Linked DNA regions of Lonchura striata. The protein of the gene in region 3 interacts with the protein of the main gene of each other region in a pairwise test. Links are inferred from orthologs where the notes say so. Each region holds a gene or a part of one and is shown on either strand. Other genes may lie near its edges.

Region 1 (7,993 bases), on a different chromosome or scaffold from region 3:
TTTGAAACAAAGTTGTGCTTATTAAAGAGCAGAGAGTTTACTTTTTCAGAGTCACAGTTAATAACACAGAGCAGTGAGAACACAGATTTTGCACACAAGAAAATCTTCGATAAGGCATGCAATCTCCTTTTACTCTGCATGAGAAGTGCCATCCTAAAGGAGAAAAATTGTGTAACATATTTGCAAAGTTGGAGCAAAATAGCTGACTGCAGAAGAATGCAACTGGATTCAGACCAGTGGTTTGATAGTTCTGCAACAAATAATAGTATGAAATACTTCACACAGACCTGGAATGTTGTTTCCTTCACCTGACAGCAATTTATTGTAATTGTACATACTAGAACCTTGGCTGTTGGTGACTGAGTTATGTATGGTTTTATAGTATTCCAACACAAAGAGTGCAGGTTTTGTTCCTGGCTCTGTCACGTTTATAAGCAAAACAAACACTAATATAACAGGCGATTAAAAACAGCATTTCTTGGTGTGCAAATAGCTGCAATTATTGATTTGCCAATTCTGCATGCTCTGATGAACAGCAGAGGAATAGACTTAAACAGAAGCACATTCATGGGTTGCATAACTGCTCACAGATCAGCAAGCCCTTGTAAAATGGCAAAATTAAAGCTAATTAGACACTGCAATTTCAAAGTATGAAGCAAGCAATACTCTTCATATTTTTCCTGCATTAATATCAGCTGCAAGTACAGTATTTGCACAGTGGAAATGAAAGGAAGTTAAACTCTCTGTAGTCCAATGGAGTGAAAATTCCTATTTACTTCATTATTTTGCAGTGAACCAAGCAGAGTTAAAGAACAGAGCCCAGCATCGCTCCGAATAATACATTCTGACTGGTTTCAGCATTTGGATCCCTGCAACCTTCTGTACCTGCTAAGAGCATGGAATTCCATACATTCCCAATGTGTAGAACCCATACTCTAAGCAGGAGCCCTTGCAATGTGATACAGAATGTAGAAACAGTGTGAGCTTTTTTGAAGTGTCTAAAATGTTCACTAATGATGAAAACAATTGAAAAACTTAACTTTACCTTATTCAGATCACAGGAATAACTTTTCTCCCTGTAGGAGTCAAGCACTAAAACTCTCAAGACTAACAGCCCATGAACTGAAATAAATTTTTTCATGTTCTTTCTTCTTTGATGTCTAAGGACTTTCTTGGATGGTGCGATGGCCAACTGTCATATGACTGGAATGGAGACTGTCATATCCCCATTACAGAGTTTTGCAGACACCTCCACCCCTGCTGTTTTTCGCTCCAGCAGCCTTCACTCACCTTCCTGCCCAATTTTATTTTACAGACACACGGGAACAGCCTGATCTTGCCAAATCAGAGCCGTGTGGGTAACTTTGTACATAAACACTCCCATCGAGATGGCACACACGCCCAGGCATCTTGCAGGTAAGGCTCCATATTAGGAACTGCCGTGTTAGCTGGTTTGAGATTTGACTTTCATAATAAGCCTTCACACCCTCTCCACTGTGAGGAGTCATTGTTCATGGGGAAGGTTTTGGCATGTTCAGGAGAAAAAGGCAGTTTTCAGTAATATTCTCAAAAGGCCTTAGAACTTGAGAAAGTGCACAAGGGTGTGAGGAGTCATTGCAAAATGTCTCTATGGGAAAGAAGTCTGAATTGTCACTAGAGCAGAAGGAGATAAATTTTTCTCATGGAAAGATTTGTGCTGCTGTTTAAAGCCAATTAACCACGCTGAATACACCTACAAACATCTTTTATACATGTTTAAAAAAAAATTTAAAGAGCCCTGGGGAAGAACTTTCATCATCCTTTAAAAACCCCCACCACCATTGCTTATGCTCTGAACGCTGTGTTTTAAAAATGGGTTTTATAGCTCAGGGATAGAAATAAATAAAGCAAAATAATAGTCATAATAAATCTACCCCGATCCTACTCCACATTCAAGTGCTTCACTGGCACTGCATCAGGCTGACCGAGACCTGCAGTGCTCTGCCAGCTGTCTGAGCTTACAAACCGCTACCCCGGCTCCGCTCGGCTGCCAGCGGACAAACCTTTCATGCGGGCTCATGCCACAAAGCCCCGCTCCAGCAAAGGGCAGCAGCACACAGCCCTTCCCGGACCCTGTCCCGCAGCTACTCCCCGGACACACATCCCTACCCTGCCCCAGCTAAAGGGCACTTTTGTCTTTCTTTGCTCCAGCAAACGCGGCTCCACGCTCCTCACAAAGCAGATGTGGGATGCCAGGGCGTAATGATGACTGGAAGCCAGACGCCCCTGCCTCGGTCCGGATGGATGCAGCTCCAACCTGCACCTACCAGGCAGAGCAGTGTCACTGAGAAACAGTTACGCTTTTCTCTTCCGAAGGTGGGTAGGGGAGCTTGGTTCAGACTTTGGTTTTCACTCCCACACCGTTATTAGAGTTCACCCAGCCAAACTGCCAACACTCTGCGAGTGTATCCAAAAACCCAGCCTGGCACAGCAGCGGCGCTGCCACCGCGGGACCGCAGCCGCCACGGGCAGCCCGGAGTGCCCTCGGCCGGCGAGGGGCACTCAGACCAGGGTGAGCAGTGGCCAGAGGCGCCCTCCTGCCTGCCCCGCTCCGGAGCTCGGCCAGCCTTTCCCCCCCGGAGGGGACAGAGCCCGGTGCCCGGGTTTGGCTCTTACCACTTTGCCGTCCTTGGCCTCTCGCCGGTGGCCCGGGGGCTCCGCACCGCCGCTGCCCCCTGCCCGGCCCTCACCGGGCGACAGGGAGTAGAAGGGGGGGCTGGGGCTGGGGGGCAGCCCCGAGTCCGGACTGTCCAGCAAGCCTTCCCGGCTCTTCTCCTTCAGGCTCTCGTCCATCCCTTGCAGCTGGAGGTGACCTACCATGTCTGGGGGACAGCGAGGGGGCCGCGGCGGGAGAAAATCCTCCAGCGCCGCCCGCCGCGGAGGGAGGGAAGGGGAAGGGAGCCCGGGGGGCCCCTCCTGAGTCCTGACCGCCGCTACCAGCCTGCCGGAGCCCGGCGCTGCTGCCAGCATCAGCCAGACCGGGGTGTCCCGGCCGCCTCCCCTCCGCCGGCCCTGCCCGCCCGGCCGCCCCCGCCCTCAGGCGTTCCCAGGGGAGGGAAGCGGCGCCCGGTCCCCCCGCCCAGCCCCGCGGGGTACGCGCGGCAGCGCCCGGGCCGGCCCCGCCGGCAGGGAGCGCTGGGCGCGGCGGGGACGGGACGGGGACGGGACGGGGATGCGCCGCGCTCGCCCACAGCCTGCGCCGCCCGCCGCCTCCCGGCGGCTCATTTATCCGGAGAGGGTGGGAGGGAGCCGGGGAGCGCCCTCCCCTTCCCCCGGCCCCCCAGCTCTGTCCCGGCCGCGCGTTCTCGGGCGCTTCCCAGGCTCGGAGCGCGTTCGGCGCCGCCCGCCTGCCCTCTCCCTCCTGAGGGGACGGGGCCGCCCCCGCGCACGGCCGGCGCGAGCGGGGTGTCCCCAGAACACCTCCCCGTGAGCTGTGGCTGCCCTCTGCTCATTCCTCAGTTTTCCCTCAGTTATGTTCCATTTTCCCCTCCTTTTTGTCCCTCTTCGATCTCTGCACTCTCCAAGGCTGGGAAAGGGGCCTCGCCACATACATCACGCCGTCACAGGGGCACAGCTTACCTCCACTCATTCCCTCAGTGCTGTCCCAAGTTTTCCCGCACTCAGAGCCGATTTCCCCCTCAGTTCTCATTTTCACCATCCTTTTTTCACCCCCACACACCCAGAGTAGCCTTTCCCCTCACTGTCGTGGCTCGTGGGCATGAGGGAAGAGACTTAGCTCTTGAGAACCATCGTCCCTCTTCACTCTGAGGTGGCAAAGGGCAGCTTCACCAAGACAGCAGGTCACCGTGGCGGTCTTGGCTACCAAGGTGCACAAACCCACCATATTCCCTCATGGCAGCCCTCACACCTCCTGCTCCCTCATGCCTGTTTCTTTGACTCCACAGCTTCCACAACCAAGGAATCGGCCTCCCAGTCCCAGCCATTGTGCGGCAAGGCCAATGTAAACACCATGGAAGAGCATCCCAAATCACAGCACAGCCTCTAGCCAGGAGGAGCATCATGTGCCAGAGGTACTGCCAGCATGGAGGGGAATGATGTGTCCAAATTAACCCTCAGGGTTCAGAGAAGAAGCAGTGGTTAAACAGGTCAGTCTGGCTGAAGCCAATATGGTCATTTGTTGCACAATAACTGGTTGAGGCTAATGTTACACTGTGTTTTTCTCATCATGTTTTCTCTCTACATAGAGTCTAGACTGTGAGAAATCTGGGGCAAGCCCACTCATATGGCTCAGCTCAGTGGAGCTTTATTCATGGCAAATAGGTTTCCATGGGAAGCTGTTGAAATCCAGCTGGCCTTCTCTTGGTCCGAGTTATTGGCCCAGCACTGAGTGAAATGAGACTGTCTGTACTACAAAATGGACAAACACAATGCTTGTGGCAATGAATGAAAATGTGAGGGGTCTGATACTGTACCTAGTGATAAAGGCTTCACACCCAAACCACGAAGATGGTGCAAAGTCCTTGGTGGTTGGGTTGAACTTAAAAGTGCCCCCACTGCATCCTCCTGAGGGAGCAAATCTCATTATGTCTTCTTACTGAAGTTGAAAGGGAAGGCTATGGATGCCCAAATCCACCTTTGAGTGAAATGAGGGGCCCTCCACAGAGTGACTGAAGCGATTTGTATGCATTGAGCTGTGCAGAGGAATGTCACTGATTTGTAAATGTCAAACAGGCACCGAGCAGCCCACACACGAACCTCAGTGAATTCTTACCTCTGACCCGCCCGTCAGCTCCAGCAGCTGCACAGGCGGATTTAGAGCCCCTTACTGTAAGGGCTCTCATGTCTCACACAGGCTATGGCTGATCTGAAAATGTCAAAGGGGACTGAAGGTCAAAATTTCCATAAATTAGTCCCTGGCTTGCTACCTATCATGTAATAGGATTCTCTGGCCAGTTAATACTGTGAAGTCAGGAATTCAGCCCAGCAGTTCCCCTGCAGCCCAGTTCCCCTGCCCCTCTCCTGAACTGGCTCAAGACCATGTGTGCAAGGGGAAGAAGTGTCTTCAGAGCTGCTTTCCTCCTCGGAGAAAAAAGGACTAGGACAGAGACACTGGGCAGGGGTGAGTGCATTGTCCTTTCATCCTAGAAAACCCTGTTTTAACTTGGGGAGCAGTCGAGAGGAGACTGACTTTTCTGTTTCTTGTTTGAGAAAACTACAATCCAATCTTTCCTGGACCCAAATAATGTATATTTCTAAAGGTAGATTTCACTACAACATGTGTTCAGCTCAGCAGTGGTTGTTATGGTTTAGGAGTTGCTGAGCTCCAAACAGCTGAAGAAAAAAGCACTGCTGAGCATCCCCCAGCACTGGTAGGGATGTTGATTTCATTTATGAATGGCAAAACTGCTGCTGGTTCTGCAAGGCATGTGTGCACACACCTTATGTTTATATTGTTATTGTGGTTGTTGTTCTGCAGTACATGTGTGTGCTGTGGTGGTATTATTGTTGTTATGCTTATGATTAGTAACCTGTTTCAAGTTAGTAGTGGGTTGCACACCCAAGTTGAAGCTCTCTTCTGTAAAGCACAGTGCAGGCAGGTGGTAAGAAATGCTCCTGTCCTGGTGGTTGTGATAGAAGTGACTCAGACTTTGGTCAGAGTCCTCCTGGAGTCACAGTATCTTGCTCTTGGCCAATGAAAATCAGCCTGAATGGAAACTTAGTGAAGGATTCAGTGTGCAGACACAGGTGTATATATGGTGTGGTAGAATTATGCCTGGTGAAACGGGATTTAAATATTGCACAGTGCCCTGTCAAAGGAGAAAAGGAGAAAAACAACAAATTTTTCAGCTGAGGCCATGTTGCTTCACTGAAACCCTCTTTAGTTCAGCACTTCTTCATTTGCTGGAAGGAATCACTAGCGACTGGTACATTCCTGTGTCTTGGCTTGGGAAAAGGGAAACTGGGCCCTTGTGTGCATGGTGGGACAAGGAGGAAGGAAAAGTCTGGAGAGGAGTTTTCTGAAGCAGCTGAGTAGAGACAAACAGGTGCAAGCACAGTGGCACAAGGGCAGCAGTGTGAAGGCACAGCCTGGGGGAGAGTGGCCTCCACTGTCTCCAAAGGAAAAACCCTGCCTAGCTGTGAATTTGAGTGCGAAACAACAGCAAATAAGGAGCAGGAAGTCAAGTAGCAGAAAACTAAGTCCAGAAGGACTGTATCTGTTAAGATTTACTCTCAGGCAGTGGTGCAATCCTGACAACAGCAATTAGAGGGCTTTTTGAAACACACATTTCTCAGAGCTTCTCCAACTGTATTTTTCATTGATCTATTTGTTATAAAACACAAAATCCCAGGCTCAATCCTGAAACAGATGGGAGGTCATAAGAGAGGTACTGTGTGGACAGTGGAGGCAGGAACCCAGACAGCCCTCCTGATATGAGCAGCCCTGCTCCTGGATAAAAGCTATCATCCTTTCTCGAATCCACTGGGATTCAAGTCTCTCCATGCTTTTATGAATCCTCTGCCGTCTGTTTTCCTAGCTGTTCTCTTAGCTAGATTTGAGTACTTTAGGAATCTGCCGTCCCACAGACATGGCAGAGAGTCAGCATCACGTGCTAAGTTTCCTTCCACTGCTGCCAGGCTTGAAAGACAAATACAGTGAGGGAGGAAAGAGACAGGATACGAACACCTACATCAGGACTTTTTCTGAAGCAGGCTGGGTGGCAAAACAGGAAGAATGCTAGGAATGTCCATTCTGGTTCACTGTTGAACCCAATCCTTGAGAACACCCACAGTGTAACTCCAGCCCCAGTAAGAATGGCTCAGGGCACAGTAGGATGTAACTGTGCTCTCTGGTTCCCTCCAAAGAAGAGCAGCCTTCCCTCTCCGCCATGGTTGTTGTCATGGGTTCCTGACAACAGTGTTGAAAGGGACCAAAGTAGCAGCATCACTGAAGGCAATAAGACCACAGAGCAGGACTCAGGTCTGTCAGACCCAGACCACCCTTGCCTGGCACACTGCAAGTTGTTCACCTCAGCCCAAAATGATTCCAAGCATGAGGGCGGCAAACCACTGCTCACTGCACAGGTCCAGATGTGACACAAAGAGCCGGAAGCACAGCCATAGGACTGGACCTGGAAACCACATGCCAATAATGACTAATTTTGCAGCATGGCAGAGTTCAAATCAAAGGAACCTTTCTGCCTGAAAAGCAGAGGCTGTTTATCAAGAGATAAAATCACCTCCTGATAGGTCTACCTATTTTTAGGCAGCCCCTACATCAGAAATTTTTTTCAACCCCAACTCCCAAGTCTTGGCTGTCTGCTCCAGTGAAGGCCACAGCCCCCTCAAGTGATGACTGCACCTGCTCTGGCCCTGCTACCCTCACCAGACAAACAGCCCTCCTAGCAGTGACTTGGAACAAACTGTCTGGCAGGAAATGGGAATGAAAAGCACAAGATTCTCCTTTTCTGGGGTCAGGAGTGCCTGTTCTTGGCAATAAATCAAAGGAAGCAAATTTCCTTTGAATAGCCTGGACTTGAAAAAAGACGGTCCATCTCCCAGACAGGGCAGTAGACTTTGTGACTTCAGAAAGAAGGATTATCTTTGAAGAACTGCACAGGGTTGAATGAGAATGTTGCCTTTTCATATTTGACTGCAGTTTGTACATTTGTGCCACAATCCAGACAAAAAACCCCAGCTGAACACTGTATTACAGAATGAGCAAAGGCTCTGGAGTGCAGAAAAATTATCAAGACTTCTACTGACCCTGCTTGCCTTTGAGTAGGGTGCCACATGATGAGTATTCAATTGCCTGTGGTGTCCAGTCAGATATTGTTACATACCTGAATCAAAACACACCTCCCTGCCTTACTGCCCCAGAGAAGGAGCTGCCTGCTATCCTGTGAAATTTCCTCTGCTTGTCTGTCAGGGCTGCTGTGCTGTAATCTTGGAGGATAATCAACAGCGAAACCATTCATAAATCACAGCAAACAGA
Region 2 (7,841 bases), on a different chromosome or scaffold from region 3:
CCTGGAGCAGCACAGGAATTGAGAACAGACTCAGGCTCCTCAGATGAACAGCTCCATGCAGGAGCTGAAACCAGAAGTTACTTGGCAGTAGCCTTTGAGTGCCTCTGGTCGGTGGAGGATTATCTTCCAGAGGATGAATGTTCTCAAGAATATATTCCCAAATCTGGTGGTAGCTTTTGTTAGTTTTGACATAAGAGACTTAAAGTCAACCCAATTCCAACATTTCTTCCTCTGCCTTCCCGGAACCATTCTTCTCCCACAGCACCACAATTCTGCATGCCCTGAAAGAACTGAGAATGGGACAAAACTCTCGGAGGATAAAAACTCTCGTGGGATAAAACTCTCAGAGAAAAAGGAAACTTCTAATAACAGAAACTTCAACAGAAAACATTTTCTCTCTGAATGAACAATAAAAGACATCAGTCTTGTGTCTAGAAGTACATGAGCCTCCAAAAAACTTTTTATAACTAAAGTATTTCAAATATTTTTTTTTTTTAATCAATGAGAATTGTTTGTAATGGTCCTGCCTGTACTCACGCCAAAGCTCTCCTTGCTATCTCATGGGCACATCTGATCTGTGTCTCCAGAGTTCTTGCACACTTCCACTCCTTGAACACCACAGTGCAGTGCGAGTCACATGGGCTCCGTGAGGTCCTGAAGGTGGCTTGGATGCAACCTCAGCTCTTCCAAAATCCATCTATCTGTTCCCTGAAATCCTTGTTCCTCCCTGTGGCAGACTCACACTCGTCCAAGCCATACCAAACCATACCACCTTCCCAAGTGCACAGCTGTGGGAGAACAACCCTCCCCAGGTTACTCTGCTGGGCAATGACAGCTCCAAGCACTGTTATCCCTGTGAGCTGCAGACAAGGGAGCAAGGGAGGAGTGAGAGGGATTCCAACCATGATCCACACAAACAGCAAATGCAAAACACCTGAAACTGGGCATCTGGGCTCTGCACTGCTGTTCCCAAGTAAAAGAGTCTGACTTGTCTTTCTAAGAGAAAGAGTGAGTACATCTGAGAGAAGGAGGGCTGGGGCACAGCCAGAGCAGCTGTGCTTCCTGGGGATCACATCTAAGTATTCTTAACCTACAGGACCTGCAGGCACAAACTCACATTTGCAGAAAACCAGGTTTGCTTGGCAGTGTGACAGCAGGTTCCCCAGCCTGGCTTGTGGAGGAGACACTGAGCCAGGACACACTGCAGCCTTGGAGAGCCAAGACTGTTCCCACAAATGCTGGGAACTGTGTCCCTGATGTCCCAGCACAGGGCTGGCAGAACACCTGAGTCACCAGGGAGTGCCATGTTTGGGTCAGAGCACTCTGCAGGAAGTCCTGGGGCACAAGAGCTGGCCTGACCAGCTCTGCTGCAGGTGAGATTCAGTACCATCCACCCCAAAAGTCATGGAACACAGACTTCAAAAGCCATTCCTCCACATCCCAACTGCCTCTTCAAATAGGCACAGCACAGGTGGCTCCTCCACTCACTAGGCTGGCCCTGTTCCAGTGGCAGGAGGTGTCTAAGTCCAAGCCAGTCTGAGGGAAAAACCCCAAAGGAAGCTACAGATGAAGTTCTCCCAAGTTTCTCCCTTGCACCACACCAGCTGGGACCTTTCTATGCAATCCCAGAGGACACTCCAAGGACCAGACAGGTCCTATCAATCAAGCCAAGGAACTTGGCTGTGGACATTAACCCAGACCCAAAGTGCAACTTAAATCAGAGGCCTAGAGAGCTGGTCCCACCCCACTCAGAGCAGAGCCAACACCAACATCCCATCAGGCTGCTCAGGGCCTTGTCCAGGTACATGGAAATGCCTTTGGAGCATGGTGTGTTTGTATAGAGTGTTCTAGACAGCATCACCACTGTGGGGTTGAAATGCATTCCCACAAATGGGATTACATGTTCCTTTTCAAAGCCCCTGCTCTACTTACTTGCTTATTCTGAAAGAATATTGCTGCAGTGAATTTATTTGTACATTATTTCTGAGCCCTACGATGCACCTTGCTCTTGCTTGCACAAATATGATAATTTCTCTATTTAGTTCTTTTTTCCTATATTAAAAATATGTATTTAAAAGGATAAATAATATATGCAGAACATTAATATAGAGAGCAATGCAATATATGTCACCATTCAAATAAGATTTTGTACCTAATTAACAAACATACAGTAAATTATGGTGTGCTTTTCATCCTTTGAGATATAAAGTTTAATTTCAATACGCAATTTTTACAGTGGCTGCCTTAATTTTCCTCAGTTTTATTTTCTTGAAAAAAATAATCAAGTTATAGATAGAACACCTGATCTGGAAAGGACCCACAAGAATCATGGAGTCCAACACCTGGCCCTGCACAGACACCCAACAATCCCACGCTGGGCACCCCTGGCAGCGCTGTCCAAACCCTCCTGCAGCTCTGGCAGCCTCGGTGCCCATTCCCTGGGCAGCCTGGGCAGTGCCAGCACCTCTGGGGGCAGGACCTTTCCCTGATCTCCATCTAACCCTCCCTGGCCCAGCTCCAGCTGTTCCCTGGGGTCCTGTCCCTGTCACAGGGAGCAGAGATCGGAGCTGCCCCTCCTGAGGAGCTGCAGCCCCAGTGGGGTCTGACCTCAGGCTCCAGGGTGAACAGACCAAGTGCCCTCAGCCGCTCCTCGTGTGGCCCCTCCAGACCCCTCCCTATTTCTGTGTCCCTCTTTTGGACACTCCAATAACTTCAGATCCTTCTTATATTGTGGTGCCCAAAACTGTCCCCCAGACTTGAGGTGAGGCTGCACCCCTACAAATGGTGGGGGAGCCACTGATTGTTCCCATTTGATACTATCTGGGATTTCATCTGTAGCCTTGGACAATCAGCACCAGGTGGACACAGAGGCTGACAGCTGGGAAATGAGGTGCACAGAGAGCACTAAGCAGGCAAGTGCTGCCTCTTTCCTCTGTTCTTCCAGGCTGTATCTCCCATGCATGAGTCTGCTCTCACACTCTGGTCACACATCCCTCCTGGCTTAGAGCTCCCAGAGGAGCAGATGATGATGCAGTCTCACACACATACTGGTACCTGCCTCCAGCACAATTTCTGCTTGAGTTGTATCTAGAGAATGAAGTGCTGCTGACTCAAAAATCCCCCCTGGTAGAGCATCTGCCAGCTCTGAAGGTAGTGGTAAACTGCCCTCCTTGCCAAACACTGGATTCTCATCTCCACCTGCTGGGTCTTGCCAATCATTTGCTTCTTTAGCATGTCTGAGGTCAAACAAATCCTCCAAACTCTCACTCCATGTACAGCCTTCAAACAGAGTGACCCTGGTTCTTGGAGGAGGAAGCTTTTGAATTAATGATCAGCCTGCAGTCCAGGATAATATCTCAACCTTGATGTACAGGTTTCTTAAGTCATACTCTGTTCTACATTTAGCTGGGAATTTATCTCAGGTTGTTGACAATGACTCTGCACCTGACTGTATGGATTCAGGTTTTAAAATTCATCCCCAAGCAGGCTTGGAAGCAAGCTCGAGGGCAGGAGGGGAGCGGAGGCGGCTCAGGGCTGTCAGCTGGAGGCGATCTGCTGGAGATGTTGAGTTGCATGTGTGGGAAGAGCTCAAAAATAGTATGAATTTTAAAATCCTGGATTCTAAAGCAGGCTCCTGGTGCCTGGCTCACAGCTTGGCTCCCGCAGCCCTGGCAGAGCCAGTTCCAGGGGTTCACCCGGCAGGAGCAGCACCAGGGGAAGGAGCAGCTCACACCATGCCCAGAGCTCTGTGAGGGCTCTGCCTCCAGAGCCCTGCGGCAGCGAACCGAGAACCATGGAATCACAGGATCATTAAGGTCGAAAAAGCCCTCTAAGATCACATAGTCCAACCACTCCCCAGAATTGCCATATTCACCGTAAAACCATGTCCCCAGGGGCCACATCCACACATATTTTAAACACTTTCAGGCGTGGTGATTCCACCATTCCATGCCGACTGTCCTGGGCAGCCTGTGCCAGGGCCTGATCAGCCCTTCAGGGAAGAACTTTTCCCCAGTATCCAACCTGAACCTCCTCTGGCCCAGCCTGAGGCCGTTCCCTCTCCTCCTGTCTCTGTTCCCTGTTGCACAGCCCAACCCCCCGGCTGTCCCCTCCTGTCAGGAGCTGTGCAGAGCCACAGGGTCCCCCTGAGCCTCCTTTTCTCCAGGCTGAGCCCCTTCCCAGCTCCCTCAGGGATTCTCCAGCCCCTTCCCAGCTCCCTCAGGGATTCTCCGGCCCCGTCCCAGCTCCCTCAGGGATTCTCCAGCCCTGTCCAGGCTCCCTCAGGGATTCTCCAGCCCGGCCCCAGCTCCCTCAGGGATTCTCCAGCCCTGTCCCAGCTTCCTCAGGGATTCTCCAGCCCTGTCCAGGCTCCCTCAGGGATTCTCTAACCCGGCCCCAGCTCCCTCAGGGATTCTCCAGCCCGGTCCCAGCTCCCTCAGGGATTCTCCAGCCCCTTCCCAGCTCCCTCAGGAACTCTCCAGCCCTGTCCCAGCTCCCTCAGGGATTCTCCAGCCCCTTCCCAGCTCCCTCAGGGATTCTCCAGTCCTGTCCCAGCTCCCTCAGGAACTCTCCAGCCCTGTCCCAGCTCCCTCAGGGATTCTCCAGCCCAGTCCTGTCCCAGCTCCCTCAGGAACTCTCCAGCCCCTTCCCAGCTCCCTCAGGGATTCTCCGGCCCCTTCCCAGCTCCCTCAGGGATTCTCCAGCCCGGCCCCTCAGGCTCTCCGCGCTGCAGGTCCCGCGGGGGCCGCTGGGGGGTGCTGCGGGGCCCGCCCCGGGCTCGTTGCTCGGCAACCGCCCGGCACCCAGGGGCGGGGCGCTCCGCGCGCGGCGCGATGACGCAATCAGAGCGCGCGGCAAGGGGAGAGGGAAGGGCGGGGGGAGGCGAGGTGTGCGGGCCAGGACCTCTCCCCGCGGCGGTGAGTGCGGCCGGGCCGGGCGGGGCGGGGCCGGGCCGAGCCGAGCCGAGCTGGGCCGAGCCGGGCCGGGCCGGGCCGGGCGGGGCGGGTGTCGCCGGGGCGGCCGCGCCGCGGGGTCGCGGTGGGCGGGGGCGCCGGGCGGGGCGGGCGCTGAGGGCGGCGCGGCGCAGCGCCCCCTGGCGGCGGCGGGCGCCGTGCCATGTGGCCGTGCTGGCTGTGCCCGCAGGTGCCGCGCGCCATGGCCCCCCCCAAGGACATCATGACCAACTCCCACGCCAAGTCCATCCTCAACGCCATGAACGCCCTGCGTAAGAGCAACACGCTCTGCGACGTCACCCTCCGCGTGGAGCACAAGGACTTCCCGGCCCACCGCATCGTCCTGGCCGCCTGCAGCGACTACTTCTGCGCCATGTTCACCAGCGAGGTCGGTGCTGCCGCCGGCCCTGGGTGCTCCGTGGGTGGAGGAGGCAGGGCCGCCCAGTCCTTGGGCTGTTCTCTGTTGAGCTGCTCAGCAGCTGGGCCAGCATCCCCCCGTGGGGGCCCAGGATCCCCTTGTGGTGATCCTGGATGCTGGAGTCCACTGGATACTCCCGGTGGTTGCTCAGGATGCCCCCGTTGTAGTTCTTGATCCTTTCATGGTGGCTGTGGGTGCTTCAGGAATCCCTATGGTGGCCCTGGATTACTCCATGGTGGTCCTTGGTCACTGTGAATCTCTCCATGCTGGCCCTGTAGCCCTCTGGGTTCTGTCTTGGTGGTCCTGGAGCCTTTCGAGGTGATTCTGTGTCTTCTTATGGTGGCCCCAGAGCCGTTTATTGTGACCTGGTGGGGAGTTAAGAGGTTGTGGCAGGAACTCTGGCCTTGATTCACCGTCTGCAGCGACCACCCTGTGCCCAGCGAGCTGCCAGGCTGAGCTGCCAAGCCAGAGAGTTGTGATACATTTACTTATTTTTCTAGTGGTGCTTTGTGGTTTCCGTGGTTGCGGGCATCTTTCCTGGCCTGGCACAGAGCTGTGGGAGCCGTGCTGGGGATTCTGGGCAACCCTTTCAGTGCAAGGGAGGGTGTTTGATGCATGCTCTGGGCTGCCCTTGGCACTGGCGGAGAGCTGGGCTGTGCTGCTCTCCTGCCATGGGGGTGGCTCTGAGCCCCAGGTGCTGCACCCAGCACATCTCACCTGTGAGCACCCTGGCTCTCAGCCCTTCCTGTGAAACTTGCACTACCTGTGTGCAGTTTCCCTGAGTCACTGACAGGCACTGCTTCAGCTGCAGCTGGCACTCTGTTAAATGTCAGATGCTTTGCCTGGCTTTGTCTTTATAAGTTGTAGTCAATATTACCAGCTTTCTGTTATGGAAGATGCTTTCCTTATCCTACTACCTTCCCCGTGAGCAGGGAGAAACATTGTTAAGTAGCTCACAGGTCCTAAAGCCCTCCCTGCTAGCTGAAGAATCATTGCAGCAGAGAATTATTTTTCTCTTTGTTTCACCCAGGCACAAAGGCTGTGGCAGAGCTCTCTGTGTGCCCACTTATCTCAGTGCTGTCAGGACAGCAGGTGTTTGAAGTCCTGTCTAAAGAAACCAAAATGATGCATGTGTAGCCTGACCTCAGACCAATACCTTTTTTTGTCCATATCTTCATGAAATTTGTAAATTCATCAGGTTTGTGCTCTTTCTCTGCATAAAGGAAATGTAATTAGATGATGAAAACACACAAAGCACATTCAATCCCTAGTGGCTGAAGTTCTCTGTTCTCCAGTAGCTCTAGGTGCTCAGCAGTACAGCAGAGTATCTCTGCTTCTCTAGGTTTGCCTCCATGTTCCTGTCAGTGCTTTTGACTTCTGGACTTCGTGTGCAGAGATCCCATCACTCCGTGTGCTCCAGAAGGTTCTTTGTGGCTGCTAACAAAGGCTGGGGGTTGGTGTGCTTTGGGTCTGAGCTGAGATGTCTCTCCTTGCTTCGTTACACTCGTGTTAGCTGTAACATCATAGTGACCTTCATTCAGACTTGAGAATCTTCCTAGGAAATTAAATTCTTCCTGGGAAAGTAGCTGTGCTCAGTAGGCAAAATTGCTTGTTCTCTCGTGCTCCCACAATGCCTCTGCTTTAAGGGTTTCTTTTCTTTTGCTTGGTTTGTGTTTCTTCCAAACTTGTGTCTTTGTTATGGAAACCCTAAAGTGACCAACCTGCCAAGGGGTACACAACTAGGGGCCAGGAAGGGGCAGCTTGGTAAGCCTCAGAGTGGACATGTTTCCTGTGTGTGTCAGCAACAAGTGTGTCGGGGCCTGTGATGGGACTGCTTGGACACTCTCCAGGCACTTGTGGGTGCAGGGTTTGGCCAGACTGGACTCCAGGGAGCTCAGAGTCTGTGTGGTGTCATGGATTGACAGGCCCTGCCAGGGCTTTCTCAGCTCTCCATTGCTTGCCTCCTGCAGGTCTGGGGACTGCTTGGCTGCTCTGATGTGCCAGGCTGGGCTGCATGAGGCTTTGTTCAGAATTGATTTTGGGTTTATGTCATGGCATCCCTGGCATTTTATCCTGGGGTTATGCCACAGTATTCCTGGTGTCACATCTGTGCATAGCCAGTACAGCACTGAGACTGTCAGCAGATACTGTTGTCATAAAGAACTGCCTTTGCCTCTCTGTGTCTCAAGTTTCCTTCCTTCTCTCACTTCTGACTTTTAACATTTTAAAATAAGTTCTCAGTCTAGCTTAGTATTAATTTCTTCCCATTTTATGTTCCTTCCTGTTTTACAGCATGAGAAGAAGCCACTGACCACCTGATGAACCCCAGGTTTCTTAGAGCACTTTCCTTTGCCCCTGTGCTAAGCAGTGTGGGAAAAGTGAAACACCATCAGTTTTACCTGCAGGCTTGTTCCTTGTAGTGAAAATTGCAGAGCAGTTTTATCACCCCTGGATCTTGGCTGTGCACTGGT
Region 3 (6,978 bases):
CCGCCCCTCCCCTTTTATGGGCTCCCCAAACCCCCCGGGTGCCCCCCAGCCCCTCCCCAACCCCCCCCCGCAGTCCCCAGAGCCCCCCATGGGGGACCCCCCGACCCCTCCCCACCCCAAGAGCCCCCCCAAACCCGCCCCTCCCCCTTGATGGGCTCCCCAAATCCCCCCTCCCCCCTTTTAGGGGTCCCCGGGCCCCCCCCAGCCCCTCCCCGGCCCCCCCGGCCCCCCCCGGGGCGGGGCTCGCTCCTCTCGTTACCAATTAAGGCTCCGCGCGCGCCGCGCGAGCCCCCGGTACCGGCACCGCCACCGCGCGGGGCCACCGAGCCCTCCCCGGGACCGCCGAACCATCCCCGGGACCACCGAGCCATCCCCGGGACCACCGAGCCCTTCCCGGGACCGCCGAGCCCTTCCCCGGGACCACCGAACCATCCCCGGGACCACCGAGCCCTTCCCCGGGACCACCGAGCCCTTCCCGGGACCACCGAGCCCTTCCCGGGACCGCCGAACCATCCCCGGGACCACCGAGCCCTCCCCGGGACCACCGAACCATCCCCGGGACCGCCGAACCCTCCCCGGGACCGCCGAGCCATCCCCGGGACCACCGAGCCCTTCCCGGGACCACCGAGCCCTTCCCGGGACCACCGAGCCCTCCCCGGGACCACCGAGCCCTTCCCGGGACCACCGAGCCCTTCCCGGGACCGCCGAGCCCTCCCCGGGACCGCCGAACCATCCCCGGGACCACCGATCCCTTCCCAGGACCACCGAACCATCCCCGGGACCGCCGAACCATCCCCGGGACCACCGAGCCCTTCCCGGGACCGCCAATCCCTTCCCGGGACCTCCGAACCCTTCCCCGGGACCACCGATCCCTTCCCGGGACCTCCGATCCCTTCCCCGGGACCGACACCGGCACCGCTCGGATCCGCCCCGGGACCGCCGGGTCCCGAGCCCCGAGGACCACCGAGACCGAGCAGCAGGTGAGGAGCCCCCGGGACCCCCGAGCCCCCCTCAAGCCCCGGGGACCACCGGGGCCGCCGGAGCAGCGGGACCGGCACCCCTGGGTGGCGCCGACCCCCCCGGTCCCGACCCCTGACCCCCGGGACCCCCGGGACCCCCGGGAACCGAGCCCAGAGCCCCGAGTAGCCCCGGGACCCCCGCCAGGATCGCGGGGTTTGGGGGGGCTTTGGGTGGGCGGGGGGCGCGAGGGGGACCCCGAGTTTGGGGCTCCCCCGATTGGGGCTGGGGGACCCCCCAAGGTGTGACCCCGATTTTGGGGTCCGAGACCCCCTTGAGAGCCCCCTGGGGGCGCGTTTTGAGGGAACCCCTAAAATGGAGCTGGGGACCCCCAAATGGGGCTGGGGGAACGCCATAACGGGGGACCCCGATTTTGGGGGACCCCCTTGAGAGACCCCTGGGGGTGCTTTGGGGGCTGGGGACCCCCTAATGGGCTTGGGGTACCCCTCTGAATGGGACCCCCCCCCCCCTTTTTTGGGGGGGTCTGAGGAGCCCAGAGTGGCTGGGCCCCCCTTTTTGGGGTGGGGGTCCCCACTTGGGGCCACCTTTGGGGTCCGGGGGACCCCGGGAATGGGAAGGGGGCAACAGGGTGGGGACCCTCCCCTGACCCCCCCAATCTGGGGCCAATGGGGCAGAGCCGGGGGTCACCCCAAATTGGGGCACCCCTAAATGTTGGGGGAGTTTGGGGAGGGTCTCTCATTGTGGGGGTCCCATCATTATTGGGGTCCCCCATTATTAGGGTTTCTTCTTGTGGGCATCCCCCATTTATTGGGGGTACCTCATTATTGGGGTCCCTCCTTTTGGGGGTGCCCAGGTGAAGATGCTCATGGGGTCCCCCACTCTGGGATTCCCCCATTATGGGGATCCCCCATTATTGGGGTCCGTCATTACAGGGATCCCCCATTATGGGGGTACCCCATTATTGGGGTCCCCTGATTGTGGGGTCCCTTACTCCAGGGATTTCCCCATTGTGGGATCCCTTCATTTTGGGGGTCCCTCACTATGGGATCCCCTCCTTGTGGGGTTCCCTCGGTAATGGGATCCCTCATTTTGAGGGTCCCCCATTATTGGGATCCCCCGTTTTGGGCTCCCCCATTATCAGGATCCCTCGTTATTGGGGTTCCCCATTGTAGGATCCCCCATTCCGGATCTGCCCGGCTGCCACATCCCCCATTATTAGGATCCCCCCATTATTAGGATCCCCCCATTATTAGGAACCCCCTTTTTGGGATCGCCCGGTTTGGGCTCCCCCATTATCGCAATCCCCCATTATAAGGACCCCCCATTCTGGGCACCCTAATTTGGGCTCTCCCCCATTATTAGGGCCCCTCATTATGGGGTCCCTCATTATTGGGGTCACCCGTTATTAGGGTCTCCCGTTTTGGGGTCCCCCATTACGCACTGCCCCATTATTGCGATCCCCCATTATTAGCACCCCTCATTATTAGCATCCCCCTTTATTAGGATCCCTCCTTTTGGGATCCCCCCTTATCGGGATCCCCCATTTTGGGGATCTCCCATTATCAGGATTCTCGTTATTAGCATCCCCCATTTTGGGGATCCCCGTTATCCGGATTCCCATTAGTAACATCCTCCATTTTGGGGATCCCCGTTATCCGGATCCCCGTTATCAAGATTCCCGTTATCAGCCTCCCCCATTTTGGGGATCCCCGTTATCAGGATCCCCGTTATCAGGATTACCACTAGTAGCATCCCCCATTTTGGCGATCCCCGATCAGGATTCCCGTTATTCGCATTCCCCATTTTGGGGATCCCCGTTATCAGGGTCCCCGTTATCAGGATTCCCGTTATTCGCATCCCCCATTTGGGGATCCCTGTTATCAGGATTCCCGTTATCTGGATCCCCGTTGTCAGCACCCCCATTTTTGGGGATCCCCGTTATCAGCACCCCCATTTTGGGGATTCCCGTTATCAGGATCCCCGTTATGTGGATCCCCGTTATCAGCACCCCCATTTTTGGGGATCCCCGTTATCAGCACCCCCATTTTGAGGATCCCCGTTATCCGGACCCCCGTTACCAGCACCCCCGTTACCAGCACCCCCATTTTGGGGATCCCCGTTATCCGGATCCCCGTTATCAGAACCCCCGTTACCAGCACCCCCATTTGGGCATCCCCGTTATCCGGATCCCCGTTATCCGGATCCCCGTTATCAGGATCCCCGTTATCAGCACCCCCATTTGGGGATCCCCGCTCTCCGGACCCCCGTTACCAGCACCCCCGTTATCCGGATCCCCGTTATCAGCACCCCCATTATCCGGATCCCCGTTATCAGCATCCCCATTATCCGTATCCCTGCTCTCCGGATCCCCGTTATCCGTATCCCCGTTGTCCGGATCCCCGTTACCAGCACCCCCGTTATCAGCACCCCCATTTGGGGATCCCCGCTCTCCGGATCCCCGTTATCCAGATCCCCGTTATCCGGATCCCCGTTACCAGCACCCCCATTTGAGGATCCCCGCTCTCCGGATCCCCGTTACCAGCACCCCCGTTACCAACACCCCCGTTACCAACACCCCCGTTACCAGCACCCCCGTTATCAGCACCCCCATTTTGAGGATCCCCGTTATCAGCATCCCCGTTATCCGTATCCCCGCTCTCCGGATCCCCGTTATCCGTATTCCCGTTACCAGCACCCCCATTTTGAGTATCCCCGTTACCAGCACCCCCGTTACCAGCACCCCCGTTACCAGCACCCCCGTTACCAGCATCCCCGTTATCCGGATCCCCGTTATCCGTATCCCCGTTACCAGCACCCCCATTTTGAGTATCCCCGTTTCCAGCACCCCCGTTACCCGCACCCCCTTTGGTCCCCCCCGTCCCCGCGCTGCCCCCTTACCCCGCTCTCCAGCTCCGGTTTCTCACCGCCCCTCCCCTCCCTCCCTCCCTCCGTCCCTCCCCGCAGCCGCCCCGGGCCGGCCCCGCGATGAGCGCGCCGGGCGGGCGGGGCCGCGCGGAGCCGGGAGCGGAGCCCGAGATGCCGGCCACCGAGAAGGACCTGGCGGAGGACGCGCCCTGGAAGCGCATCCAGCAGAACACCTTCACCCGCTGGTGCAACGAGCACCTCAAATGCGTCCAGAAGCGCGTGGGCAACCTGCAGACCGACCTGGGCGACGGGCTGCGCCTCATCGCGCTGCTCGAGGTGCTCAGCCAGAAGCAGATGGGCCGCAAGTACAACGCGCGCCCCACCTTCCGCCAGATGCAGCTGGAGAACGTCTCGGTGGCCCTGGAGTTCCTGGAGAGGGAGAACATCAAGCTGGTGTCCATCGGTGAGAACCTCCGGGGCGGCGAGCGGGGCTGGCCGGGCGGCGAGCGGGGCGGCCCCGGGGGCGAGCGGGGCTGCGGAGGAGTTGGGGTTTTGGGGGGGGGGATGAGATTCCAGTGGTTAGTTTGGTGAGGAAAGGGTGGAAATGGGTCGGGAAAGGGTCAGAAATTGGGGAGGGGGCGTGAGAACAACCCCCAACTGCCCCCGGAAAGTTTTGGGGGTTGGGGAGGGGGTGGGGGCTGCGGAGGAGTTGGGAATTTGGGGGTGGGGATGAGATTCCAGTGGTTAGTTTGGTGAGGAAAGGGTGGAAATGGGTCAGAAATTGGGGAGGGGGCGTGAGAGCAACCCCCAACCCCCCCCCCTCCCCCCCCGGAAAGTTTTGGGGGTTGGGGAGGGGGTGTGGGAGTTAGTGAAGAGCTGGAATTTTGGGGGGGGGGTGAGATTCCAGTGGTTAATTTGGTGAGGAAAGGCTGGAAATGGGTCGGGAAAGGGTCAGAAATTGGGGAGGGGGCGTGAGAGCAACCCCCGGAAAGTTTTGGGGGTTGGGGAGGGGGTGTGGGAGTTAGTGAAGAGCTGGAATTTTGGGAGGGGGGGTGAGATTCCAGTGGTTAGTTTGGTGAGGAAAGGGTGGAAATGGGTCAGAAATTGGGGAGGGGGCGTGAGAGCAACCCCCAACCCCCCCCGGAAAGTTTTGGGGGTTGGGGAGGGGGTGTGGGATTTAGTGAGGAGCTGGAATTTTGGGGGGGGAAATGAGATTCCAGTGGCTAATTTGGTGAGGAAAGGGTGGAAATGGGTCGAGAAAAGGTCAGAAATTGGGGAGGGGGCGTGAGAGCAACCCCCAACCCCCCCCGGAAAGTTTTGAAAGTTTTGGGGGGGTGTGGGAGTTAGGGACGAGTTGGGATTTTTGGGGGGAAAATGAGATTGGAGTGGATTATTTGGTGAGGAAAAGGTGGAAAAGGGTCAGAAATTGAGGAGGGGGCGTGCGACCACCCCCCCCCCCTCCCGGAAATTTTTGGGGGTGGGGGGGTGTGGGAGTTAGTGAGGAGTCGGAATTTTGGAGTTTTGGATGAAAAAAGGAGGTTGAAATGGTGAGGAAAGGCTGGAAACGTCTCAGAAGAGGGTCAGAAATTGGGGAGGGGGCGTGCGACCACCCCCCAAAAAAGTTCAGGCCGTGGGGAGGAAGCGGGAGTTGGATTTTTTTGGGGAGAAAAAAAGGCAGAAATTAGATTTTTAGGGTTTTTTTGATAAAATGGTGGTGGATTCGCCCTAAAAGGGTCTCGGAAATTGGGGAGGGGGCGTGCGACCACCCCCCAAAAAGAGCGTGGAGCTCGGGGTGGGGCCATGGGGGGAGTGGCAGTTACGGAGCGTTGAAATTTTTTTGGGGAAAAAAAAGGAAATCTGAGCGATTTGTGGTGGTGGGGAGGGGGCAAAAATACCCCCGGAAGGATGTCAGGAATTGGGGGAGGGGTCGTGCGACCACCCCCCAAAAAACCTCCGAGGGGGTTCGGGGCGGGATGGGGGGAAACGGGAATTGTGGAGAAAATCGGATTTTGGGGGGAAAAAGGGAGATGGGAGCGGTTTGTGTTGCTGAAAAAGTGGAGAATTCTCCCCAAAACGGGCTCGGGAATTTGGGGAGGGGGCTCCTGGAGGAGCCGCGGGGGCTCTGAAATTTGGGGAGGGGTCCGCTGGGGGACCCCCCGGCCGGCGGAGGAAGGGGAGGGGTCCCTGCGAGAGGAGGAGCGGGGCGGGGCCGGGTGGGGAAAAAGCGGCGAATTCTCCCCAAAATGGGGCCGGGAATTTGGGGAGGGGGCTCCTGGAGGACCCCCAGAAATGGGGGGGGGGGCAACTGGGAGACCCCCAGAGCCCAAAATGGGGAGGGGTCTCTGCGGAAGGGAAGCTCGGACTGGTTTTAATGGTGAGGAGGGGGCGGGACCCCGACCCCAAAAGGCCCCGGAAATTGGGGAGGGGTCGTGGACGAGCCCAGAAATTGGGGGGGGGTCCCGCTCCCAAAAATGGGGAGGGGTCTCCAAGAGGGGGAGCATCCAACTGGTCCCAATTGGGGAGACCCCTCCCCAAAAAACACCCCGAAATTGGGGGGGGGGGTCCTGGAGAGGGCAAACCCCCTTCGATAATTTGGGGGGGGGTCTCAGGGGGCGCAGAGACCCCTCCCCAAATAACCCCAGAGTGATGGGGAGGGTCCTGAGACCCCTCCCCTTTATGAGACCCCCCCCGGGAATATTTTGGGGACCCCCCCCCACATTTAGGGCGGGGCTTTGGAGGCTCCTCCCCCCCCAAATCCCACCCTGGGGGGGGGGCTCCGTTTGAGACCCCCCCCCAAATTTGGGACACGCCCCTAAATTAGACCCCCCCCCAATTTGCGACCCCCCCCCCCCCACATTTGGGACCCCAAAATTAAAGGGGGAAGGTCCTGGAGACCCCTCCCCTCTTAGGGGGGCTCCCCCTTTTACAGGGCCCTGTTTGGGACCCCCTCCCCAATTTAGGGTCCCCCCTCCCCAATTTTGGACCCCCCCCCCAATTTAGGCTCCCCCCTCCCCCAATTTGGGGCGACCCCAAAATTAAGGGGGGGTGGGGGATGGGGGGGTCCGGCCCCTCCTCCCAGCGCAGGAATTTGGGGAGGGGGCGCCGCTCGCGGGGCTCGGGGGGGTCCCGAGGGGG
Region 4 (6,855 bases), on a different chromosome or scaffold from region 3:
CAGCATAAGGGATGGCTGAGTTTACTTCAGCTGGTCTCTATGCAATTGGTTTGACTAGGGATCTGCTGAAGTTTTCTCCAGCCCTACATTTCAACAACTAAAGAATGAAGAAGTCAGTTTCAAGGGTTCCATTACCTTTAAAAGCTCCCTCACTTAACAGTGTTATGCAAAGCCTGTTCCCTCCTGGACTTCTTTATTGATGATGGTCTTGCTGTACTCATCTTTATAACAGAAAAGATAAATAGAAAAAGACAGAACTGTATGCAGAAAATGAAGTGATCTTTGTTCAGAGTCTGTACAAGCAGGACAGCCATAGGACAAAGGCAAAGCATGAAAACAGATGTTTTCCCAAGTTTCCCCTCTCCATCTGTCTCTTTTATATTCCTCTGCTCTTGAAATAATAATGCCCAACATTTCTTAGCAGACTTCCCCCTACATCAGAAATTCTTTTCCATTAGTTTTTCTTATCCAGAATGTAAGCATGTTTGCATGAATTCTAGCTAAAGTGTCTATAATATGGAGAAGATGAGATTTCCTAGGAAAATGACCCCTCCTTGTCTAAAATCTGTATGTAACCCATCTTCATAAAGTAGTTGACCAAGAGTTGAAGACATAGGGAAGCGTGTCTAAAACATTTTCAGAATAATAGCTTTAGATAACCAGCATGGCTCTAAAATCCCTAAGAATATATGATACCACCATTTTCATTTTATCTTGCATTGTACTTAAGAAGGTCCAAAAATGGATGTCAAATTGCTGCAATTATTAATACCTATAGAAGTGTATTTACAAAGTGATTTATTGCAAGAACTCTTAGGTCCTATACATAGTCTCAATCTTATACCAAGACAGGAACAACCTATGCCATTTTGAACTTTCATGTTAAAACTATGAGGATTTGGAAGTACCCACTTGTTTTGGCTCTACCATGGTCAAATTCATCTCTCTTCCTGTCATTAGCACAATTAGAATAAACTTAGAAACTTCTGTGATTCTTAATTTTTTGAGATATTTTTCTTCTACTGCTCATACTTTGACATACTCAAACAAATAATAATATCCTATATTTACTTTTTTTACCAGAGTAGGCAAAGCATCATCATCTCTAGTAAATATTTTCCTTTCTAAGTTGACAATAGTCCTGCTGATAGTGGGTAAATCCATTGAAGTTTACATTTGCCACTAAATATTTGTGGATCACTGTTCACAACTCTATAAATCTTACAACTTGCTGTTTGAGAAAAGGCCCATATCAAAATGTTTCTTTCTACAACAGGTAATTGAAACTTTTGAGTGGCAACTTTGTTTCAAAGTTGGCCTTTCTTCTTTGGTTGTGGTTTTGTTCTTCCTGAATTCTTGCTTTTGGGGTGTGTGAGGCGGGGTGTGTGTATGCACACATGTGTGTTATTGTGGGGTTTTTTAATGCAGCAAGTCACTTATTTTCCTGAATGAAATGTTTATTTTTTACTGGATAATACTGGATGCCAACTTGCAACCTTTATCTAGAATATATTGCATCTCCAGGGATGGTTGTAAAAATTTGACTGGAATGAATAAGCACAGAAAAGTCTGTAAATACACAGCTGTAAAATAATAAAAAGTAAAATACATTTTAATGTGGAAGTTAAATATGCACCACAACTACTTTTTCTTGAAAGAATAGCGTGAGGTCAACCTTTGAAATTTTATAGTTGCAAAGAATGTAAAGAAGAAAATCTGCCATAAAATCACATTCAGCATTTATATAGATAAGTGAAAGGAACTCTGAAAGTAAAGTTGAATGCACACTAGTGCAAAATTATTAATACAAACAAGTTAAACAGTTACTTACACATGTGCTTATGTTATATTCCCTTGGGTGGTCCTGCTTGATTCTGTGAAACAATTCATGCTAACAGAGTTAAGCATGTGTACTCACAGGAAGAGAGTCTGAGGTCTGATAAATAAATCCTATTATGTAATATCTGATAAAGTTGTTTTTACACCAGTATCAAGCTTAGGGAAAAGGAACGCACATTTCTGAGCCAAATCTGAGTTCACTGTCCTGTCACAACTGACTAAAGCTAGATACTTCTGAGAAATTTATAGGTTCACCATAATGGAAGATATGGGATTATTTTTGCTCACAGTAGCCTTGTATCTCATCAAATTCTTGACTCCAAAGCCTTCCCAAGTCAGCAAATTCCATAATCATAGTGAGTTGGTTTTTTTTTTTCTTAAATAGCTAATAGAAACCAGAAACTTCCTTGTGACCACCTTCTCATCTGTAAGAAGATGCCATCAGAAGATGCTTTTCTATAGTAGACCGAGTGTGTAATCATTCCAAACTTATCTGCTGCAACTGCCCTGACACACTTAGCATGGCATATTAGTGTGCTGAACTTTTCAACCTATTTTTATTTAATAATTTCTCATGCAAGCATTTTTTTTTCTATTCTTCATTCTTTCCCATGATCTATATTCGTAACATTCATTCTTAAATGGAGTTTTTAGTGTTGTACACTGTTTCAAAAATTAGCTACAGAAATCAGAATTACAGAATTATATATTTTAAGGGATTGGAATGAACATTATAGATCATCTAGTCCCAACCCACCCTGCTATGCGCAGGGACAATTCCCACTCAACAATTCCCAGCCTTCTCAATTCCTTGTCCAATGAGTACCAGGGTTGGGGAAACCACAGCCTTCCTGGGCAACCAGGGTTTAGGCACTATTCCAGTGTGTAACCACCCTCAAAGAAACATTTCTTCCTGTTATGTAACTTAAATTTCCCCTCTTTCAGTTTGTACCTATTACTTATTGTCCTGTCACTGCAGTTCCTGATGAAGAATCCCTCTCCAGCTTCCCTCTTCCCTGTAAGATACTGGAAGGTTGCTATGTGGTCTCAGCTTTCTCTTCTTCTCCAGTATTCCTCCCTTCTTGTATAGTGATAGAACTTTTCATTATTTCTGGATTGCTAAATTCATTTAGGCTGAAAATTCAGCTGTGTAATGATGGTTCAGGTCCATTTTCTTTATATGTCTTTTATCAAGGCATCTTATTTCTCTATGTGAACATCCAGCTTCGTTTGAAACGTGCTCATCCTGCCTCCCTAGCATGTCAGAACTGGAAGGAAGCTGGTCAAGGTTCAGCACGGGCTGAAATGTAACTTGCAAATTTAACCAAAACCTTTTAAACCGGAATTCAGTTTAAGAGCAGCAGCCAAGTAACAGGTCATGTTCTGATGTTGCCTGGTTTTCGTTTCCATGGGTGACGGCCGCCTCGCTCCGCCTCAGTCAGGCGGCGCTGGGGGTGGCACTGCCGTCCCCTGGCTCCTTGGCCTCGCCGAACCACGGCACCTCTTGCCTCTTTTGCCAGCTGCGCCTCTAAGTTTCCAACAACTGCTTGGCTTTGGCCGTTTGGTTTTGGTTTGGTTTTCGCCTCTCGTGTTTTGAAACGTGTGGCACGGCGTTAGGAGACTCCAGGAGTTTGGACGGCCGCTGTGCAGCGCTGGAGGGGAATGACGAACGGGGGGGCGACCCTTCCCACGGGGCAGCGCCCGGCAGCAGCAGCGCGGGCAGCGCCCGGCAGCAGCAGCGCGCCCCTCCCCGCGCCCCGCCCTCACGCCGCCCCGCACTCTTCCTTCGCTGACGCACCTCGGGACGCGCCGCCCGGCTACCGCGCGCGGCGCCTCGCGCATGCGCCGCGCCTGCGGCGACCGAGCGCGCCCCGGCGGCGCCTCAGGAGGGAGCGGCGTCTGTGCGCGTGCGCCGTGGGGCGGCCGGGGACGCCGCGCGTGCGCGTTTGTGCCGGCGGCGGGCGCGCTCGGGAGCGCGGGGTTGGGGCGCGCCGGGAAGGCGGCGCGGGTGTCCGTCGGTCCGTCCGGGAGCGTGCGCCCCGCGGGGCCCGGCCCTCAGCCTGCCCGCCGGGGGCACGCCTGCCGCCCGCTGCCGCCGCGACACGGGCAGCGACGCGAGGAGCCGCCAGGATGAAGCTGGTGAGGAAGGACCTGGAGAAGGATAATGCGGGGCAGGTGACGCTGATCCCTGAGGAGCCTGAGGACATGTGGCACACCTACAACCTGCTACAGGTGGGTGACAGCCTGCGCGCCTCCACCATCCGCAAGGTTCAGACCGAGTCGTCCACGGGCAGCGTGGGCAGCAACCGCGTCCGCACCACCCTCACCCTCTGCGTGGAGACCATCGACTTCGACTCACAGGCCTGCCAGCTGCGGGTTAAGGGCACGAACATCCAGGAGAACGAGTACGTGAAGATGGGCGCCTACCACACCATCGAGCTGGAGCCCAACCGTCAGTTCACCCTGGCCAAGAAGCAGTGGGACAGCGTGGTGCTGGAGCGCATCGAGCAGGCCTGCGACCCGGCCTGGAGCGCCGATGTGGCGGCCGTGGTCATGCAGGAGGGGCTGGCTCACGTCTGCCTGGTCACCCCGAGCATGACGCTGACTCGAGCCAAGGTGGAGGTGAACATCCCCCGCAAGCGGAAAGGGAACTGCAGTCAGCACGACCGGGCTCTGGAGAGGTTTTACGAGCAGGTGGTGCAAGCCATCCAGAGGCATATCAACTTTGAGGTGGTGAAGTGTGTACTGGTGGCTAGCCCAGGCTTCGTGCGGGAGCAGTTTTGTGACTACATGTTCCAGCAGGCAGTCAAGACTGACAACAAACTTCTGCTGGAGAACAGGTCCAAGTTCTTACAGGTAAGGATCTAAGCAGTTTCTAGAGTAGGTAAAAAGAGGCTTGAGAGTTGCGTATGATAGTAAAAGGTAGTTACATGGGAAATAAGTCACTAAAGAAAATAAATTTCTGACTGAGCATCATGAGAAAATTATTCTTATGTCTCCCAAACTATAAATGAGTTGTGCGTAGTATAAGGATGGTTCCCACATAGGATACCTTTATCTGGAATAGAGAAAGTGTTAGATATTTCAAACTCCCTGTAAAGGCATATTGGCTCTTCAATTAAGTGTGAAGTTTAAGTTGGAAAGTACTTTGCACTGTTACGTTGTCACCTGTATAGCATCCATGTTTAATAACAACTTTCCAAAGATGTTTTTTTAAAAGTACCTGAATGTAGTATAGGTTAATTAATTTTGTATTAACAAATTTAACTAGAATTTCATTGTTAGTTTTGTACCACATATTTAAAGGCTCTGTTTTTTTCCTTGTTTCTTAGTCATCTCATTGATTGAGTGCATGGGGGTTTAGCTTTATACTAAAATAGTCATATTCAGGACCTAAAATACGTTTTCATAAGGATTCTTGTATTATTTTTAGATTGGAGTAGGCCTGGGGTGATCTGGGGGCAGGGATAGTGAAGTGAGTCCCAGTACTTAGGAGACCCAGTGCACCAAGAAAACCCTCCTGTTCCATGTGTAACAAAGTGATAATAGAGAGAAGTAGCTTTGTGACCATAATAATTGCACAGAGTTGATGCTTTTACACTATATGCCTGCAGTGTTGAGGGTCCTTCCTTTTCTTCAATGCTTTAAAAGAGAGGCGTAGGCTTAGATTTGAGTTTCTTGGTAGTTTCAAGTAGCCGTATCTTGGGAGCTGTTGAGCTTGTATATTTAATCCAGGCTTTGAATAAGAGAGGCAGTTGTCTTTTTCTGCTTCAAAGACAGTTTAAGGGATTTGGTATAGGCTCTGTGTTGCAGGAGAGATTAAGAAAAGAATCATGTGTATGTCAAGAAGGACACAAGTTCCCCAGATAATTATCGAGATTAATATTACATATCATGGAGGGTGTTTGTGATTGGTTAATAAAGAAAATGGTCCTTTTTTTTCAAAAACACCAAACTTTTGACTTTGTTTTCACTCTAGGTCCACTCTTCCTCAGGACATAAATACGCACTGAAAGAAGCACTCTGCGACCCAGCTGTAACTAGCCGTCTTTCTGACACTAAGGCAGCTGGTGAGGTCAAAGCCTTAGATGACTTCTATAAAATGCTGCAGCATGAGCCTGACCGGGCTTTTTATGGCCTGAAACATGTGGAAAAGGCCAATGAAGCCATGGCCATTGATACCCTGCTGATCAGTGATGAGCTTTTTCGGCACCAGGATGTGGCTACACGTTCCCGATATGTTAAATTGGTAGATAGCGTACGGGAGAACATGGGCACAGTGCGCATTTTCTCCAGCCTCCATGTGTCTGGAGAGCAGCTGGGCCAGCTGACAGGGGTGGCAGCTATCCTGCGCTTTCCAGTTGCTGAGCTCTCTGACCAGGAAGATGAATCTAGCTCTGAAGAGGATTGATAACAGTGGCTTCATTCCACAGTTTCTTTTCAGTGTCATGTTGAAATTACATTAAAAGGTCCTCCTCACCTGAATACTGTGTGCACATGTACCATGACATGTAATTAAAAAGGTTTAATAATAAACATATACATGCATATATATATAGCTTTATGTAGCACACTACTTGATATCTGATGTATGGTAATAATTATTGATATGCTGTGCTGAGCTGACTGTTTTTGCAGTTCCAGACCACCAGCAGTACAAGAAACTAATTTGGCTCCTCAGTGCTGGTTGGTCTGCATGTTAAGGCATACTGCCAACTTAGGTGAAATGTGTAAGAAAAAATAGTAAGCTAACAGGGCGAAATTCATGTTGTAATATTTCTTTTCAAATGCTTGAAAAGAGTATAGTGAAACAAATGCAAACTTCTTGGGAGACTTGTCAAAACTGTGCTCGATCTTCATAGGTGCTCCCTGTTCTCTGTAAGGTGTGTCAAAGGAATAGGGTCAATATCAATTCTTAGGGCTTAGTGTGGTGATGTAAGTCTAACCACTTAAATATTTCTGTGAAACACTTGAAGCAGTCTTTCAGCAATGAGACCCTTTATCTTAACCATAACT

What was found.
Region 1: the proteins of FLNA (region 3) and RFLNA interact in a two-hybrid assay, tested with the Homo sapiens proteins (2 studies listed by BioGRID). The two-hybrid records come from large-scale screens. The link is inferred for Lonchura striata from reciprocal best matches to the Homo sapiens genes FLNA and RFLNA.
Region 2: the proteins of FLNA (region 3) and KLHL12 interact in binary tests that used the Homo sapiens proteins (3 or more experiments, as listed by UniProt). The two-hybrid records come from large-scale screens. The link is inferred for Lonchura striata from reciprocal best matches to the Homo sapiens genes FLNA and KLHL12.
Region 4: the proteins of FLNA (region 3) and PELO interact in binary tests that used the Homo sapiens proteins (3 or more experiments, as listed by UniProt). The link is inferred for Lonchura striata from reciprocal best matches to the Homo sapiens genes FLNA and PELO.

The regions. Positions count from the first base shown.
Region 1 is NC_134620.1:13,310,964-13,318,956, reverse strand, and holds the start of RFLNA (refilin-A), read right to left. Parts: upstream 3,018-7,993; 5' UTR 3,010-3,017; coding exon 2,656-3,009; intron 1-2,655. UniProt on the Homo sapiens protein: Involved in the regulation of the perinuclear actin network and nuclear shape through interaction with filamins. Plays an essential role in actin cytoskeleton formation in developing cartilaginous cells.
Region 2 is NC_134632.1:520,406-528,246, reverse strand, and holds the start of KLHL12 (kelch-like protein 12), read left to right. Parts: upstream 1-4,832; coding exon 4,833-4,916; intron 4,917-5,142; coding exon 5,143-5,340; intron 5,341-7,841. UniProt on the Homo sapiens protein: Substrate-specific adapter of a BCR (BTB-CUL3-RBX1) E3 ubiquitin ligase complex that acts as a negative regulator of Wnt signaling pathway and ER-Golgi transport.
Region 3 is NC_134638.1:1,280,079-1,287,056, reverse strand, and holds the start of FLNA (filamin-A), read left to right. Parts: upstream 1-3,963; coding exon 3,964-4,306; intron 4,307-6,978. UniProt on the Homo sapiens protein: Promotes orthogonal branching of actin filaments and links actin filaments to membrane glycoproteins. Anchors various transmembrane proteins to the actin cytoskeleton and serves as a scaffold for a wide range of cytoplasmic signaling proteins.
Region 4 is NC_134642.1:33,089,543-33,096,397, reverse strand, and holds the start of PELO (protein pelota homolog), read left to right. Parts: upstream 1-3,852; 5' UTR 3,853-3,969; coding exon 3,970-4,695; intron 4,696-5,818; coding exon 5,819-6,250; 3' UTR 6,251-6,855. UniProt on the Homo sapiens protein: Component of the Pelota-HBS1L complex, a complex that recognizes stalled ribosomes and triggers the No-Go Decay (NGD) pathway.